Cricetulus griseus: one gene and its partners. The protein of the gene in region 2 purifies or fractionates together with the protein of the main gene of each other region. This does not show direct contact. Links are inferred from orthologs where the notes say so. Each region holds a gene or a part of one and is shown on either strand. Other genes may lie near its edges. The genes, in order: Eed, Phf1, Rbbp4 and Ezh1.

Evidence for each region.
Region 1: the proteins of Phf1 (region 2) and Eed purify together in Homo sapiens (affinity purification with mass spectrometry; 8 studies listed by BioGRID and IntAct, with this or other methods). This does not show direct contact. The link is inferred for Cricetulus griseus from reciprocal best matches to the Homo sapiens genes PHF1 and EED.
Region 3: the proteins of Phf1 (region 2) and Rbbp4 purify together in Homo sapiens (affinity purification with mass spectrometry; 5 studies listed by BioGRID and IntAct, with this or other methods). This does not show direct contact. The link is inferred for Cricetulus griseus from reciprocal best matches to the Homo sapiens genes PHF1 and RBBP4.
Region 4: the proteins of Phf1 (region 2) and Ezh1 purify together in Homo sapiens (affinity purification with mass spectrometry; 5 studies listed by BioGRID and IntAct, with this or other methods). This does not show direct contact. The link is inferred for Cricetulus griseus from reciprocal best matches to the Homo sapiens genes PHF1 and EZH1.

Annotation. Positions count from the first base shown.
Region 1 is NC_048596.1:109,139,555-109,143,375, forward strand, and holds part of Eed (polycomb protein EED), read left to right. Parts: intron 1-338; coding exon 339-404; intron 405-1,754; coding exon 1,755-1,880; intron 1,881-3,305; coding exon 3,306-3,387; intron 3,388-3,821. UniProt on the Homo sapiens protein: Polycomb group (PcG) protein. Component of the PRC2/EED-EZH2 complex, which methylates 'Lys-9' and 'Lys-27' of histone H3, leading to transcriptional repression of the affected target gene.
Region 2 is NW_023276806.1:232,130,508-232,135,014, forward strand, and holds the start of Phf1 (PHD finger protein 1), read left to right. Parts: upstream 1-1,698; 5' UTR 1,699-1,857; intron 1,858-2,485; 5' UTR 2,486-2,501; coding exon 2,502-2,660; intron 2,661-2,744; coding exon 2,745-2,826; intron 2,827-2,909; coding exon 2,910-3,005; intron 3,006-3,640; coding exon 3,641-3,741; intron 3,742-3,830; coding exon 3,831-3,979; intron 3,980-4,127; coding exon 4,128-4,223; intron 4,224-4,357; coding exon 4,358-4,426; intron 4,427-4,507. Other genes in the region: kinesin-like protein KIFC1, read left to right, coding at 462-506. UniProt on the Homo sapiens protein: Polycomb group (PcG) that specifically binds histone H3 trimethylated at 'Lys-36' (H3K36me3) and recruits the PRC2 complex. Involved in DNA damage response and is recruited at double-strand breaks (DSBs).
Region 3 is NC_048595.1:23,714,794-23,718,614, forward strand, and holds part of Rbbp4 (histone-binding protein RBBP4), read left to right. Parts: intron 1-777; coding exon 778-854; intron 855-1,390; coding exon 1,391-1,448; intron 1,449-1,553; coding exon 1,554-1,664; intron 1,665-3,821. UniProt on the Homo sapiens protein: Core histone-binding subunit that may target chromatin assembly factors, chromatin remodeling factors and histone deacetylases to their histone substrates in a manner that is regulated by nucleosomal DNA.
Region 4 is NC_048600.1:114,246,662-114,250,482, reverse strand, and holds part of Ezh1 (histone-lysine N-methyltransferase EZH1), read left to right. Parts: intron 1-742; coding exon 743-783; intron 784-1,341; coding exon 1,342-1,467; intron 1,468-3,821.

The DNA of each region.
Region 1 (3,821 bases), on a different chromosome or scaffold from region 2:
TGCTAGGGGTAATCATTTCATGGTACTGAAGATGTTTTGTTACAAATTTAATTAAAGAAGAATAAACCGTAATTATTTTAAAGTTTTAACTTTACTCACTTTGGAAAAGTTCTGATTATATGGATGAAATGTATATTTAAATGTTTGGAAATAGAAACTACTATTGCCAGGCTAGTATCACATAGAAGGTGTGAGGATTTATAATGGTTTGGATAAGCTTACAGAGCTGCTGCAAGCAGTTTTTGTAATGTCACTAAGTTGTAATTTTGGCTAGAATGTTTTAAGAGTCAGAGAATGTTTCTTTCTCTGAAATGATATGCATATTTTTGTTTCTTTAGGTTACCTTATATGAGTGCCATTCACAAGGGGAAATCCGGTTATTGCAGTCCTATGTAGATGCTGATGTATCCTTCTCTCGCTGCTTTTGTATGGTTTAAAACATTGAGTTTGATAAGTACACTAAAACTTTTTTTTTTCCCGAGACGGGGTTTCCTCTGTGTAGCTCTGTAGACCGGGCTTGCCTCAAACTACAAATATACTGTCCTATCTTTCTTTAGCTAGGAATATTATCATTGTTACCCAAGGGGATCAATCCTAGTATCTCATGTACCTGATCTTGAATTTGTCATGAGGTGAATGTGATGGTGGGTACAAGACGAGTGGAGTTGGGACCATTAGAAATCCATGGTAGAAATTGTCAGCAGGGACCAGCTAAGCCTAGAATTTTACAATTTCAGTGTAGTGTTTTTTTTTTTGTTTTGTTTTTTTTAAGATTTATTTTATTATTGTATATAGAGTTTTTTGCTTGCATGTCTGCCTGCAGGCCAGAAGAGGGCACCAGATCTCATTACAGATGGTTGTGAGCCACCATGTGGGTGCTGGAAGTTGAACTCAGGACCTCTGGAAGAGCAGCCAGTGCTCTTAACTGCTGAGCCATCTCTCCAGCGCCCCCAGTGTAATTTAATACATAGCTGGCAGTCATTCTAAGTATCTGATCAAAAAAGCTGAGATGGAAAAAATAAGTGTGGGTAATTTAGGAAATTATTGAAGAGTGAGTTATGAAGAAAAGGAAGATCTTAATTTAAAAGCCCAAGGGTTTATTTATTTATTTATTTTTGTTTTTAAGGAGTTTTAAAAGGCTGAGTGATGAGATGTTTCTTCCAGATCCATTTGAAAAAATACAGAAAGTGAAGGCTGGGGGCAGCACTGAATCTGTAGATAACATGGAAACGAGTGAACAGTTGCCATGTTAGGATGGTGGGAAATGAACCATTTATAGGTTCATAGCACTATCAGGACAAAGGGTCAGCGAAGTAAAGCCTGCAGTCTCACTACCCAGCTTTGTAAATAATGTTTTACTGAAGAACAGTTATGCCTATGCTGAGCTGCTCTTCCTTGCTGCTTTGGCAGTACTCCAGTGGAGGGGAATAGTTCTACAGGCAGCTAAAGAGAAGTGTGCAAGGAGAGAGCTTATTTGGTAATGGATTTTAAACCTAAAAGTGCTGCCACTGTGAATATTATTTATTTTTGAGAATAGGGCCTTGCTGAGTAGCCCTAGCTGGATTTTAGTTTAAGAAAACCCTCCAGCTTCTGCCTCTTGACTCCTGGGACACCTGGGTATCACCGTGCAAATTTTGTATAAAGAAAAATGAATAATTAAAACTTTAGCTGTTGTTTAGAAGGTTCTGTTTATTGTAAATATTAACGTGTTTATTTTTCAAAATAAATTATATCTCTTAACTGGCATTTCTTAGGCAGATGAAAACTTTTATACTTGTGCATGGACCTATGATAGCAACACCAGCCACCCTCTACTTGCTGTTGCTGGGTCTAGAGGCATAATAAGGATAATTAATCCCATAACGATGCAGTGTATAAAGGTGGGTCTTTGGTCAAATTGTAGATTGGCTGTTTTTGAATACTCAGGCTACAACTTCATGGAATGACTTTAAAACTAATGTAGTCAATTTGATTTGATTTATGCCTTGCTTATTGTTTCTCCTTTACTGCATTTATTCACTTGGGTGTATGGAGCAGGTACATGAGTGTGTATACGTGGATGAGGTCAGAGGTGTCAGTTCCCATCTTCATCTGTGTGTGTCCTAAAGACCCAATTCGGCTTTCAGGGATGCCAGCCAGCACCTTTACATGCTAAGCCATCTTGCTAATCCGTTACTTTCTTTAGAGTAGTCCTTTGAAACTTCTGTGACAATTAGAGGATGTAAATTAAGGAATACATAGGAAAGTGTTAATACTTACCTTTTTTTTTCCTTCCCCCTCTGTGTATCTTTGTAGACCAGGCTGGCCTCAAACTCAAAGAGATCCACCCTCCCCTGCCTCGCTAGTGCTGGGATAAAAGGTGTGTGCCACCACTGCCCAGCTCCAATACCCACCATTTTTTAATTTCTCTCCTTCCCTTGCTTTGAGCACCTTAAAAAATTTATTTATTTTACATCCCAACTGAAGTTTCCCCTCCCTCCCTTCTTTCCTCCCAGCCTCCCTCCACCCACCTATCTACTCCTCCTCTAATTCTGTTCAGAAATGGTCAGGACTCCCATGAATAGCAACAAAACATGGCACATCAAGTTGCAGTAAGACCAAGGACCTCCCCTTGCGTTAAGGCTGGGCAAAGCTACTCATTGTGAGGAATAGGGACCCAAAATCCAGCCAAGGAGACAGCCTCTGCTCCCACTGTTAGGAGTGCCACAAGAAGACCAAGCTATACAATTCAAATACATTCAGAGGGCCTGCATCATTCCTATACAGGCTCCTGATTGTTGTTTCAGACTCTGAGCTCCTATCAGCCCAGGTTAGTTGATTCTGTGGGTTTTCTTGTGATTGCTTTGGACATTTTTAACTGAAAAATAACCACTTTTCCCAAGGGACCCAAATCAAGAATTGTGGGTTCCAGGGGACCCTGTAAGAGACAGAAAGGTAAAGCCAAGGAAGCTGATAAAAAGGCAGGCTTTAGATGTTGCTGTTTGTAACCTGGGGCTCACTTAAGCAATGCTGTTAGCTGAGTGGTGACAAATTGGTCCCATTTTCCTTTCTCTAAATTTGTTGGGCAATTTTAGTGTATAGCCAAAGGTGAGAAGAACTTTAAGTGGAAGTTTGTTTGGCAGCTTTGCTGGACACTGAACCTTGGGCCTTGAGTACACTAGGGTAGTGATCTACCACTGAGCTGTATCCCCAGCCTTTTTTCTCTTATGGTTTATGAAAGAGAATTGTTTTTTTTTGTTGTTGTTGTTTGTTTTGTTTTGTTTTGTTTTTGAGATATGAAAAAAAATGTTTTAAATTTATTGTAGCACTATGTTGGCCATGGAAATGCTATCAATGAGCTGAAATTCCACCCACGAGACCCAAATCTTCTCCTGTCAGTAAGTAAAGGTAAGCTTACAGAAACAAATGTTTCTTTAGTTCAGATTGTTTCGGAATAATTATTTTAAAGAGACAGGTTGTGTTCTAAGGGGAAATAATCAAAATTAAAAGAAAAAAGGTTTTAATAGGGAAAAAATAGCCTATATTAGTATCTCATGAACCAAGACCAGAGAACAAACCTCACTTTATACAGAGATAGTTCAAGAACTTTACTCCCCCCCCCCAAAAAAAAAAAGAAAAAAATCACATTGCTTTTTCACTTTGAATGACGTATCACCATGTTAGGATTTTCAAAAGGTGAGTTGTTTGATTTGGTTTTGGGAGACAGGGCTTCTCTGTGTAGCTTTGTAGATCAGGCTCGAACTTAGTCTGTCCCTGCCTCCTGGAGTGCTGGGATTAAAGGCTGTGGTATCACTACTGTTCACTCTCTCTCTCTCTCTCTC
Region 2 (4,507 bases):
TGGTGCCCACAAGCCAATCTGATGGGACAGTTTCTCAGCTGAGTTTCCCTCTTCAAATGAGAGCTAGCGCCGGGCGTTGGTGACGCACACCTTTAATCCCAGCACTTAGGAGGCAGAGGCAGGAGGATCTCTGTGAGTTCAAGGCCAACCTGGTCTACAAGAAATAGTTCCAGGATAGGCTCCAAAGCCACAGAGAAACCCTGTCTTGAAAAACCAAAAAAAAAAAGAGGAGAGAGAGAGAGGTAGCCTGTGTGGAGTTGACATAAAACCAGGGCTTCATCTCTAGACTTCTGACCTCTTCCAGGCCTACTAGTGGATATAAGACAACTATGCTTAGGGGCGGGAACCAGGCCGAGCCTACTTTCAACAGCCCTTATTTCAATATTTTGGAGGGCGGCCCCAGCATTGGAGCTGGGGTAGATGGACCAACGCTGATCTTGTATAACCTTCTTGGTCCACAGGTGAACCAGTGTGTTATCGGTACTGCTCAGGCTAATAAGAAGTGAAGATGGCCAGAGCCTGGTTCCGCTGCCGCTGGGTTGATTGTGTCTCTCTCTGTGTGTACTGGGGGGGAGAGGGGGGTGAGAGATACGCTTTTATTGGGTGGACATCATTTGTACCCAACTATCAAATAAAGAAATTTTGTTGTAGACTTTACGCATGGTTGTTTTGCCTGGGTGTGTGTACATGTGCGCCATGTGTATGCCTGGTGCTTCTTGAGTTCAGAAGAGGGCTGGCTTCAGGTCCTCTGGACCTGGTCTGATGGATGGCTGTGAGCGACTGTGGGTTCTCTGCAAAAGCAGTCAGTGCTCTTAACGACGAGCCATCTCTGCAGCCCTTGTTACGGCTCTTAAATAAAGGTCTTGTTAGTCCTGGTAGGTTGTAAACAAATACCGTAAGCTTGCAGAAGTGTGGCTTCTGACGTGTGCTTTGCACAGTGAGGCTATGGGCTTTTCTCTGTTGGGCTCTCACTTGGCTGTCCTTCAGCGCGGGTGTTGCACCCATAGCTGCCACACCGGGCCTGGTGTGAGTCCCAGCGCGCTCGATCCGCATCCCCTCCCTCTGCCTGCCCACCGCTTGGAACTACGGTTCCCTGCCGCCCGCTGCCCATTGGCTGGCTGTGGGCACGTCACCGGCTGGGTGCTGGCCCTGCCGCCCTGGCTCGCCCGCTCGCCGGCCCTGGCCCGCTCGCTCGCCTGCCCGCCCGGGAGGGAGGAGCGCAGCCGCACCGGGCTCCCGCGGCAGGAGGTGTGGCTGTCTGCCCAGGTGCAGCGCCCAGGCGGGGCCGCGCGTGCGCAGAAGGGCGGGGCGACAGGAAGTGTGAATGGGGAGGGCGGGGCCGCGTGCGGAGGCGGGGCTTGGAGTGGCCACGGGGGCGGGGCAGCTAACGGATGTGGCATGGGGCGGGGCTGGGCCCTGACCTGCAGGCTGGCTGCCAGCAGGGTTATTTCCTGCCGCTCCCGGGGCGAGCCTCCCGTCCGGAAAGGGGGCTGCAGGGGTCCCCTCGTCCTGCCCGGCCGGCCGCGCCCCCAGCCGTGCGGTGCCCTCGGGGCCTGCCGGGGGTGAGGGAGGTGCTGCCTGTCCGCCCCTCCGGCTTCTCCTCCCTCTGGTGCTCCCCACCCACTACTCCTCCCTCCCGCCCTCCCGCGGCCGACTCCTCCCGCCGCCGCCGCCGCTGCTTTGGCTGCTGCGTCATACGCCCCAGAGCCGCTAGGACGGAGGGGCTGGGCCCCGGGACCCCCGGCCTCCTCCTGCACGCCCTCGGCGTCCGCACGCACTCCGCCCGCGCCGGGGCTCGCGCCCCTAGGGCTCTGGGGTCTGCCCCTAGCTGGCTCCCTGCTGACCCAGCTGTCACCGGTAAGAAGGAGGCGGGAGGCCCTGAGCGGGGGCAGGGAGGGGGCCGGGGGTCGATGCTCAGCAGGGGGCAGGAGAGCCTCTTGGCACCGGCTTAGGATCCGGGCTGGGGGGACTCGAGTCCCTCCTCAGACCGGCGGTGTAGGGTAGCGGAGACCTGGACAGGGACACGCCCCCCTCCTGGGGCACTCGGGGAAGTTATCTAATCCCAGGGCAAGCAGCCTCAAATTTGAGGGTGACCTAACATAACCTGGCACCAGGACAGCGGTTCTAAATGAGACACACAGGCCTGGGGAGGCGGATGTCTCTACTCAGGGAAACATCTCCAGAAAAGCTCCCAAAATATCTCTGGGCAACCGAGCGTCCCAGTTAGGATACCTCTAAACAGCTGGGAAAGGCGAAACTGAATGAATGGTAACCTTGGCTCTGAAAGCATCTTTTCCCCTAAGGCCCCAGGGAGCTGGGATGCTAGAGAACCAGGCTGGGGACCAGGGTGACCCACCTCCTTAGGTGTCTAAAGGATTCAGTGACTGAGCTTGGAGGTGCTTGGTCCCTTATCCTTGACAGTAAAAGCAGACAGAGCAGCCAAGCCTTCTTAACATTCATAAACTCTTCCATCGTATCTGATTAGCCCCTCCCAGGATGCAATGGCGCAGCTCCCCCGGCTGAGCCGCTTGGGTGCACCCTCTCTTTGGGATCCAGCTTCCCCTGCTCCCACCTCAGGCCCTAGACCTCGACTTTGGGAGGGTCAAGACGTGCTGGCTAGGTGGACCGATGGGCTGCTGTATTTAGGCACCATCAAAAAGGTAAGAGCCAACTCTGGGCCCCACCATGGATCCTCTCCCTCTGATTCCTGCTCCCACTTTATAATCTTTGCTCACCCACTCCAGGTGGACAGTGCTCGGGAGGTGTGTCTGGTCCAGTTTGAGGATGATTCCCAGTTTCTGGTTCTATGGAAGGACATCAGCCCGGGTGAGACCCTTCATAACTGCAGAAGCTGGAGGGTGTGGGGGACACTGGCTGAAGTAAGCCACCTGACACCTTGTCCCTCACAGCTGCCCTCCCTGGGGAGGAGCTCCTCTGCTGTGTCTGTCGCTCTGAGACGGTGGTCCCTGGGAACCGGCTGGTCAGCTGTGAGAAGTGTCGTCATGGTGAGAGGAGAGGGCAGGATACTTGAATGGTACAGTTTGCCCTGGGTCTTCTGGATTGCCAGTTGTCTTCCTAGCATGGGTCTTGTGTCTCCTATCTTGGCCAGTCTTCACCCTGTCACCTCATCTCAGTACAGGGAGAGGGAGCCATAGGATGAAGATGACATAAGCCATGCAAGGTTGAGGGTAGCTACATACATCTCTCTCTCTCTCTAAGGTTGAGGGTAGCTACATACCTCTCACTCTCTCTCTCTCTCTCTCTCTCTCTCTCTCTCTCTCTCTGTCTTTTAAAGATTTGTTTATTTATTATACAGTGTTCTGCCTGCATGTACAACTTCAGGCCAGAAAAGGGTACCAGATGTCACTACAGATGGTTGTGAGCCACCATGTGGTTGCTGGGAATTGAACTTAGGACCTCTGGAAGAGCAGCCAGTGCTCTTAACCTCTGAGCCATCTCTCCAGCCCCCCCACCAAACACACACCACACACACACACACACACACACACACACACACACACACACACACAGTAGGACCATGGTCAGGATATAAACGCACAAGGGAAGGCTGCCGTGTACGAGCACCAAGCCAATGCAGGTGCGCACACAGTGTTTGACTCTCAACATTGTCCTTATTCAGCTTATCACCAGGACTGTCACGTTCCCAGGGCCCCAGCCCCTGGAGAAGGAGAGGGCACATCCTGGGTCTGCCGCCAGTGTGTCTTTGCGATTGCCACCAAGGTAAAGGCACCTCTCTGCCACTTCCTATGGGAGCCTCCCATGGCCCCTTCTCTCCTGCCTCTCTGAGGTTTCCACCTGTTCCTCTGCAGAGGGGGGGCGCCCTGAAGAAGGGCCCCTATGCCCGGGCCATGCTGGGCATGAAGCTCTGTCTGCCGTATGGACTAAAGGGGCTGGACTGGGACGCCGGGCACTTGAGCAACCGACAGCAGAGCTACTGTTACTGTGGAGGCCCCGGGGAGTGAGTGGTGGGGGTGCTGAGTTCTGGGGTGGACGCTGTGGTGGTAGAGCCTGGAATAAAGGGGAAGGGGCAGGCTGAGGGGAGCCCCGAGGTGATGGGAGGTGGGTGAGGGTTCAGGGTGGTCTCAGGCAGGCTGTCTTCCCCTGAGGTGGAACCTGAAAATGCTGCAGTGTCGGAGCTGTCTCCAGTGGTTCCACGAGGCCTGCACCCAGTGTCTGAGCAAGCCCCTCCTCTACGGAGACAGGTGAGCCCAAAGGAGGCTGTCCAGGAAGCCCAGGGCGCCCGCCTGCTGTGCTCCACCCACGCCCAGGCCTCCCAGCGTTCGCTGTCTACCACTTGTAGAGTTGAACGAGGTGCGTTCTCTGTCCTCATGTCCAGATTCTATGAATTTGAATGCTGTGTGTGCCGGGGTGGCCCTGAGAAGGTCCGGAGGTTACAGCTTCGCTGGTGAGATGGATTGTGCCTTCCTTCCTTCCTTCCTTCCTTCCTTCCTTCCTTCCTTCCTTCCTTCCTTCCTTCCTGTTCCCC
Region 3 (3,821 bases), on a different chromosome or scaffold from region 2:
GGTATCTATCTAGTAAGAGACCACCCTACAGTCATTAGAACTACTGCTAATCTCAGCATTCAAAGGGAAGAGGGAGAATCACAAAAGGTCATCCTCATCTAAATGGCCTAAGTGTTGAGACTGTTTTGTCATTGTCCTATTTCCTTTCTCTTGGTGGTAGTGGTAGTGATGGTCTTGCTTGAAGAATATCTAAATTCTTCCCTAACCCATTAGTCAATAATGCCATAAACTAACATTTTTTTTTCTTTCTTTTTTTCTTCTTCTTCAAGTCAGGATATCTCTGTTTAACAGTCCTAGCTGTCCTGCAAACTCATTCTGTGGATCAGGCTGGCCTTGAACTCACAAGGAGCCTCCTGCCTCTGCTTTCAAAGTGCTGGGATTAAAGGTGTGTGCCACCACTACCCAGCAAACCAGCACTTTCTTAACAGCCACAGGATTTGTGATAGTTTTGTGTGTGTGGTTATCTTTTACCTAACATCATTATAAGGAATCTTTGGGGTATAGTAGTAGCTGTCCAGGCAGTGGTGGCGCAAGCCTTTAGTCCCAGCACCTGGGAAGCAAAGGCAGGCTGATCTCTGAGTTCAAGGCCAGCCTGGTCTATAAAGCAAGTGCCAGGACAGGCTCCAAAGCCATAGAGAAACCCTGTGAAGAGAGAAATATCTGTAAGTTTTAGCAGTATTCACTGCCTTTTATTTACAAAGTTTTGTAGGATATAATTTGAGATATTTTCCCCTTCTATTTCTAATTGGTTGCATCTTTGTTGACTCTTGGATATAGGTTCAATGGTCACCTCACAACGAGACTATTTTGGCTTCTAGTGGTACTGACCGTAGGCTGAATGTCTGGGATTTAAGGTGAGTTTTGTGTTGGTTACTGGTTTGTTGGTTTGGGGTTTTTTGTTTGTTTGTTTGTTTGTTTGTTTGTTTCGAGGAGACAGTTTCATGTGGCCCTGATCTAGAGCTCAATCTGTATATTGACCTCAAACTCTGAGAAATTCATTTCTCTACCTCCAAGTGTCACTAAGCCTGGCAAAGTTGCTGTCTTCACATTTTTTCAAAGATAAGTGCTCAGCTGTCTTAGGATTTCTTTTTCTGTGAAGAAACAGTCATGACCACAGCCATGTTTAATTAAGTAGCTTACAGTTGAGAGGTTCTCAGTCCTTTATGGTGGGACATAGCTCTGCAGGTTAGACATGGTGCTAGAGTGGTAGCTTTAGAGGTCTACATTTTGTGCAGGCAACAGGAAGTTAACTGAGAAACTAGGCATGTCTTGGATATATGAGACCTCTTTAGGCCACAACTCCTAATAGTGCCTGTGAGCTTATGGGGGCCAGTTACATTCAAACTACCACACATGGTAATGTTTTCTGACTTAATTCTTTTTTGTTAAGTAAAATTGGAGAAGAACAGTCCCCAGAAGATGCAGAAGATGGCCCACCAGAGTTGTTGGTATGTTACAGACCTTCAGGCACTTTGGGGTCTTCTGTGTTTTGAATAGTGGACTATGATTTAATGTTCTGTGTTTAAATATATTTGTTTTGGTCCCTCTTCCAGTTTATTCATGGTGGTCACACTGCCAAGATATCTGATTTCTCCTGGAATCCCAATGAACCTTGGGTGATTTGTTCTGTATCAGAAGACAATATCATGCAAGTGTGGCAGATGGTAAGTGTTCGGCCATTATTTAGGGGACAGTAGGTACGTGAGGCCATCATTACTCACACACCTCACACACTTTGGATACAACTGCCATCTCTGCCCTGTTTTCCTCAGCTGTGTTTTTATGTGTAGTTTTCTCTGGTAGTTCGTTGCTTTGGTTTTGTTTTGTTTTTGGTCTTTTTTGAGGCAGGGTTTCTCTGTGTAGCTTTGGAGCCTATCCTGGCACTCTTCTCTGGAGACCAGGCTGGCCTCGGACTCGCAGAGATCCGCTTCCCTCTGCCTCCTGGGTGCTGGGATTAAAGGCCTGCACCACCACCAACCAGCCATTTTTTTTTTTTTTTTTTTTAAGATTTTATTTACTATGTAAACAACATTCTGCTTCCGTGTATGTCTGCACACCAGAAGAGGGCACCAGATCTCATAACGGATGGTTGTGAGCCAGAACTCAGGACCTCTGGAAGACTAGTCAGTGCTCTTAACCTCTGAGCCATCACTCCAGCCCCTGTTTTTGGTCTTTTTGAACAACTTCTCTGTCCTGGCTGTCTTAGAACTCTGTAGACCAAAATGGCCTCAAACTCAAGAGATCTGCCTGCCTCTGCCTCCTGATTGCCGGGATTAAAGGCATGCGCCACCACTGTCCGGCTTGCTTACACTTTTCCTTTATCTGATTGTCCCACTGCTTGTTTTTAGTTTAGCTAATAAAAACTGATCTACTGTGGTTTATTCCCCCTTTGCCCTCCTCACTATAGTTGTGATGCTGTAGCACCAGTGTGTCTTTGCTTACCTGTTACAGCTACAAGAATTCAAGTTTCTTCACCTCTGGGTCTAGTTATATATCATCCTATTAGATTTCAAAAATACTACCTGTAATCTCAACAGTCATGAAGCACAAGCAGGAAGGTTGTTGTGAGAATAAGACCCTGACTATGACGGGGGTGGGGGTGGGGATACAAAAATAGTATTAGAAATAGAGACAGTTAGCCGGGGGGCATGCCACTAATCCCAAGCACTCTGGGAGTTCGAGGCCAGCCTGGTCTACAAGAGCTAGTTCCAGGACAGCCTCCAAAGCCACAGAAATACCCCACCCACCCACTCCTGCCAAAACAAAAAAGAACTGAACCTGGATCCTTTGCAAGAGCAACAAGTGCCCTTTACCACTGAGCTGTCTCTGGTCTCCAGTAAAGGGTTGTGTTGCTGCTGTATTCATTTGAGAAAGGATCTCAGTGTGGAATCTCTAATTCATAGCAGTCTACCTGCCTAGTTTTAGTTAAAGGGCAACCAGAGCTACACAGAGAAACCGGGTTGCACTTGGGGCGGGGAAAGGGGGTTGGCCAAAAGAAAAGGTTGCAGAGTTGTGAACTAGATTCCCTCCGGGGTTGCTACCTCTATTGTGGGATATGTGCATATACTAAGGTTTTGGTGAGACCCCTACATAGCCTCATGATCTAGTCAGCGTAAGTGCTAAAAATTGACCGCTTGAAACTCTCTGCCTCTCCAGTGGGGTGGCAGATTAAGCTCTTGGCTTGCCCTGTGATCTTGGCACAACCAAAAATTGGTAGTTTGAGAATCCAGATTCTGGTTGCCAGGAGACAAGTAGTGTGAATGCCCTGCTCCCTCCTGTGTTTATCTCTTCCATTTGGTGTGAGAGAGGGACTGAGACTGCAGATCTGGGGTTTCAACAATTCTCTGAGATGATGTTGGTGTTGATGATTGTTGATGTGACAGGGTTCTTGGTTACCCAGTTAGTATCCAGAGGTGGGAGAAATAACCACACATTTGGTGTTAGACTTTTATATATTTCATCAACGGAGGGGCGCGTGTGTGGTCATAAGTATCACTTTGTGTATATGATAGAAACCTCTGGTTTATATTTTAGCTATTACCAGTGATATATCTGGTTATAGGGTTCAGGAATGATGATCGTCCATACTTTGTGAAAATGCCCTGTACTCAGAGCTGTGGCCTGCTCCTTGTTTTCACTGAACACATATGTGCCCATTTATGATTCATGTCGTTCGTGCATTGTCTGTTGCTGTTTTAGTTCAGCAGTAGCACTGAATGGCTAAAACTATAAGTCCCTCTTTGAAATGTTATTTGGGGACATTGTTATCAGGCACCTTTCCATAATATATTATGGAATATAATATATTATGGAATATAATA
Region 4 (3,821 bases), on a different chromosome or scaffold from region 2:
TTTCTTTTGAGTTTCTAGCCAGTAGGACATGGCTGGCCTGTAACTCTACACTAGGATTGTTTCCCCTTCTTGGGTGGCGACTCTCTTCCCCACTTATCACCTCTCAGGAGTTTGTTCCTTTTTTTTTTTTATCTAGATATTTATATGTGTTGTTTTTCAGAATCACATAACTGTGTATATGGATTGGAAGTTGAAGAAAGTTTAGTAGCTAGACATGGTTAATCCCAGTACTCAAGAGGCAGAGGCAGAGGCAGATGGGCCTCTGTGAGTTCAATGCCAGTCTGTTCTACATAGTGTCAGGCCAGGCAGGGCTACATAGTGAGACCCTGTCTGAAAATAAAACTATCACTCTGACAGACAGCCAGATTCCCTGATGTGTATTGGTAGCCAGGGAAGGGAGGTGGCTCTAGCTCCAGATACAAAAGCTGTTCTGTCTCTTTCCTGTCAGTTTCCTCACTGAAAGACTTTCCCACCTTAGAGCTCTGGCAAAGAGAACGAAGGAAAAGGAAGGAGCAATAGGAAGGAAAAGGAAGGAGCAATAGTGTGATAAGAGACAAGTTTGTGAGTTTTTGCTTTGTTAGACAGGCTCTAGATTCAGCCGACCAAAGTAGGTGCCTCCTTCTAAGGAACTCTGGAAGGGTACCTCAAAGTTGTCAAACTGTCCCTCAGAGCAGGGCACACTGTCATTTGTCTGCATCTACAGAGGATCGGGATTCAGACCTATCCCGTCTCTCTCTCCTAGGTTGTGGGCCGCACACTGCAGGAAAATTCAGCTGAAGAAAGGTGAGTTCAGTGGGAGAAAGGCCCCCACTTAGAGTAGAGTGTGTTCTTAGCGTGTTCAAGATTATAGGCTCCATCCTAGGCACATGCGCACATGCGCTCACATACACAGGTACACACAGTTCAGACTGAAGCCTCACCCTGTGGTTTTCACCCTGCCACACCTATAGCTCTCTTGTTGACCCTGGCTGCTTCTGCAGATTGCAGATTTCTTTGCAGCGTCTCAAGGGCTGAGCCAGTGGCTACAGCTAAGATGCCCTCTCAGGAGATAAACTTAAGGCCTTGTGGTCTCTTAAGTTTCCTAGTGTGCTGTTTGCCAGTGCCAGACCTCTTTTCATGTTTAGAGTAGCTGCCTTGTTATCTCTGGCCTTCTCCACACCCTACCCACAAAGCAGATATCTCACATGTTTATGTACAGGGGTCAGCTACTTTATCAGGTGCTAAGTGTGTCTAAAGTCATGATTAGGACAAGCTTACTTTGACTTGGGGCACTGGAACATTTGGAGAGTAGGGCATCAAGGGAGCCTGGTCATAGCAGTGTCCTTCTCTATTCTCTTCTAGATAACTCTTCTACACAGGTGTATAACTACCAACCCTGTGACCACCCAGACCGTCCCTGTGACAGCACCTGCCCCTGCATCATGACCCAGAATTTCTGTGAGAAGTTCTGCCAGTGCAGCCCAGACTGTAAGAGCACCCTGCTTTCACCATCGTCTACCAAAGTGGTTGGCCTTGGAGTCTCCAGGCTCCCTTCTGCCCCATAGCTGCCTGTAGACCTTTGATATCCCTTTGCTATGGTTCAGGCATCCTACAGGGCAGGAAGGTGTGAGCCACTGAAAAGTTGTGGGGGTTGGTTAGTCTATTTTTAATTTTAAAACATTATTTTATTGTTTTATGTATATGAGCGTTTTGCCTACATGTATGTCTGCATTGTGGGCATACCTGTTGTCCAAGGAAGTCAGAAAAGGGAGTCAGATCTCTTGGAACTAGAGTCACAGACAGTGTGAGCCACTGTGTGGGTGCTGGGAATCAATCCCAGGTCCTCTGGAAGAGCAGCCAGTTCCCCATGCTGATAAGCCATCACTCTAACCCCTGTTCTACTGTATAAAAGCACCCCAACTCCTGGGCTCTCAAAGTCTCTCCTTGCTCTCCCAACTCTTCCCCTTTCTCCCCTCCCCACTCTCTATATTTTCAAGCAGTTTTCCTTTCTCCACAGCTTAGATAGCTGAGGTTACAGGGATGTGCCACTTTTCCCAGCTGTGAAAGTCAGGTGGGGAGTCTGGAAATAGGAACTAGATATGATGCTTCTCCCATCTTCTCCTTTTAGGGAGAACTGAGAAACAGGAGTTTTTCCTACGATGCATTCACAGTCTCCTCTTTCTTTAGGATGTTGTTTTTAAAAAGTGTTAGGGCTGGAGAGGTGGCTCAGTGGTTAAAAGCACTTTCTGCTCTTCCAAAGGACCTGAGTTTGGTTCCCCGCATCCGTGGTAGGCAGCTCACAACCATGTGTAATTTCAGTTCAAGGAGACACCTGACACTTCTGTCCTCGGGCATCCGCACACACTTGGCATACACATACATATAAATAAATAAAAATAAAAGTGGGAAAAAAAGGTTATATGGGTTGAGCATGGTAGTATGTAACTAACTAGGTCTGGAATTCTACTCTGGGAGTCTGAGGCAGGAGGATCAGAGTTCAAGGCCAACCTGTGCTACTAATGAAATCATGTTTCCACAACCGCTATCACCTGCAGATTTGTTTATCTGGATGCAGTGTTACCTACCTACCTACCTACATACATACATATCTCTAGCATTGCAAGAAAGGCAGGTGAATCACTTGGACCTAGACTAAAACCCTGCCTCACAAGAGGGGGAAGAGGGGGAAAGAGAAAAAAGAAGGAGGGCTGGTGAGGTGGTTCAGCAGGTAAAGGCAGCAAAACAAACTTGCCAGGAAGCCTGGCTTAGATCCCTGGAACCACATGATGGACAGAGAGAACTGCTTCCTGCGTTGTCTGTCCTCTTATCTCCACACACGTGAATGGCAGGGTGTGTCTACATCTCTGTACACACCCACTAAATACATAGAATTTTTGTAAAAGTTTGAAGAAAAGAAAAAGAATATACACAGCGAAGTCTTTTGGGATTTTGAGAATTTTTGATAACCCAGGCCTAACCTTGAACTCCTCATCCTCCTGCCCCTACCTCTCAGCTTCTGGAATTACGGGCATGTGCCACCACAGCGGACCCATATAGAGAATTCCTCATGTTTGTGTAATAGCTGAAGACTGAGTGGTTGTGGTTCTAGGGGTTGCACCTATGACTCTACTCTGTTTATACTCTACTCTGTCTATACTCACTCCAGCTAGAGTTCTTTAGAACACATTTTTCCCCCACAAATATTAATTGAGCTGGGTAAAGAGCCTTTATTTCAACATACTAGCTAGAGTTTATTTTGTTGTTATTTTTTGTTTTGTTTTGAGACAGGGTTTCACTATGCAGTCCTGGGTGGCCTTAAATTCACAGAGATCTACCTGCCTCTGCCTCTAGAGTACTGGGATTATTGACGTGTGCCACCATACTTAGCTGAGGAGTTAGACTATCTCGTAGAAGGAGCTGGAATGGGTAAAAGTGCTTGTAGAAAACTCTGGGTTCCCAGCACCCATATCAGGCAGCTTAGAAGGAAATAACAGCTTTAGCTCCAAGGGATCTGATGCCACCTTTTGGCTTCCAAGGGCTCTTGCACTCAGGTGCACATAGTCACCCACAGATATACACACATAATTAAAATTAAAAATCAGTATGTTAGGGCCTGAAGAGATGGCTAAGTGGTCAAAAGCAGAAAACCTGGGTTCTGTTCCTGGCACCCTCACAACTGCTGTGACTATAGCTCAGAGAGATCTAACACTGCCTTCTGGCCTCTGTGGACCCGCTACACACATAAGTAATAAGCATGTACATACGTAAGTAATAAGTGTGCACATACATACATATCTACTAAGAGACAGGAGTCTGGGGGTTAGTAGAAAAGTAGCTCTTAC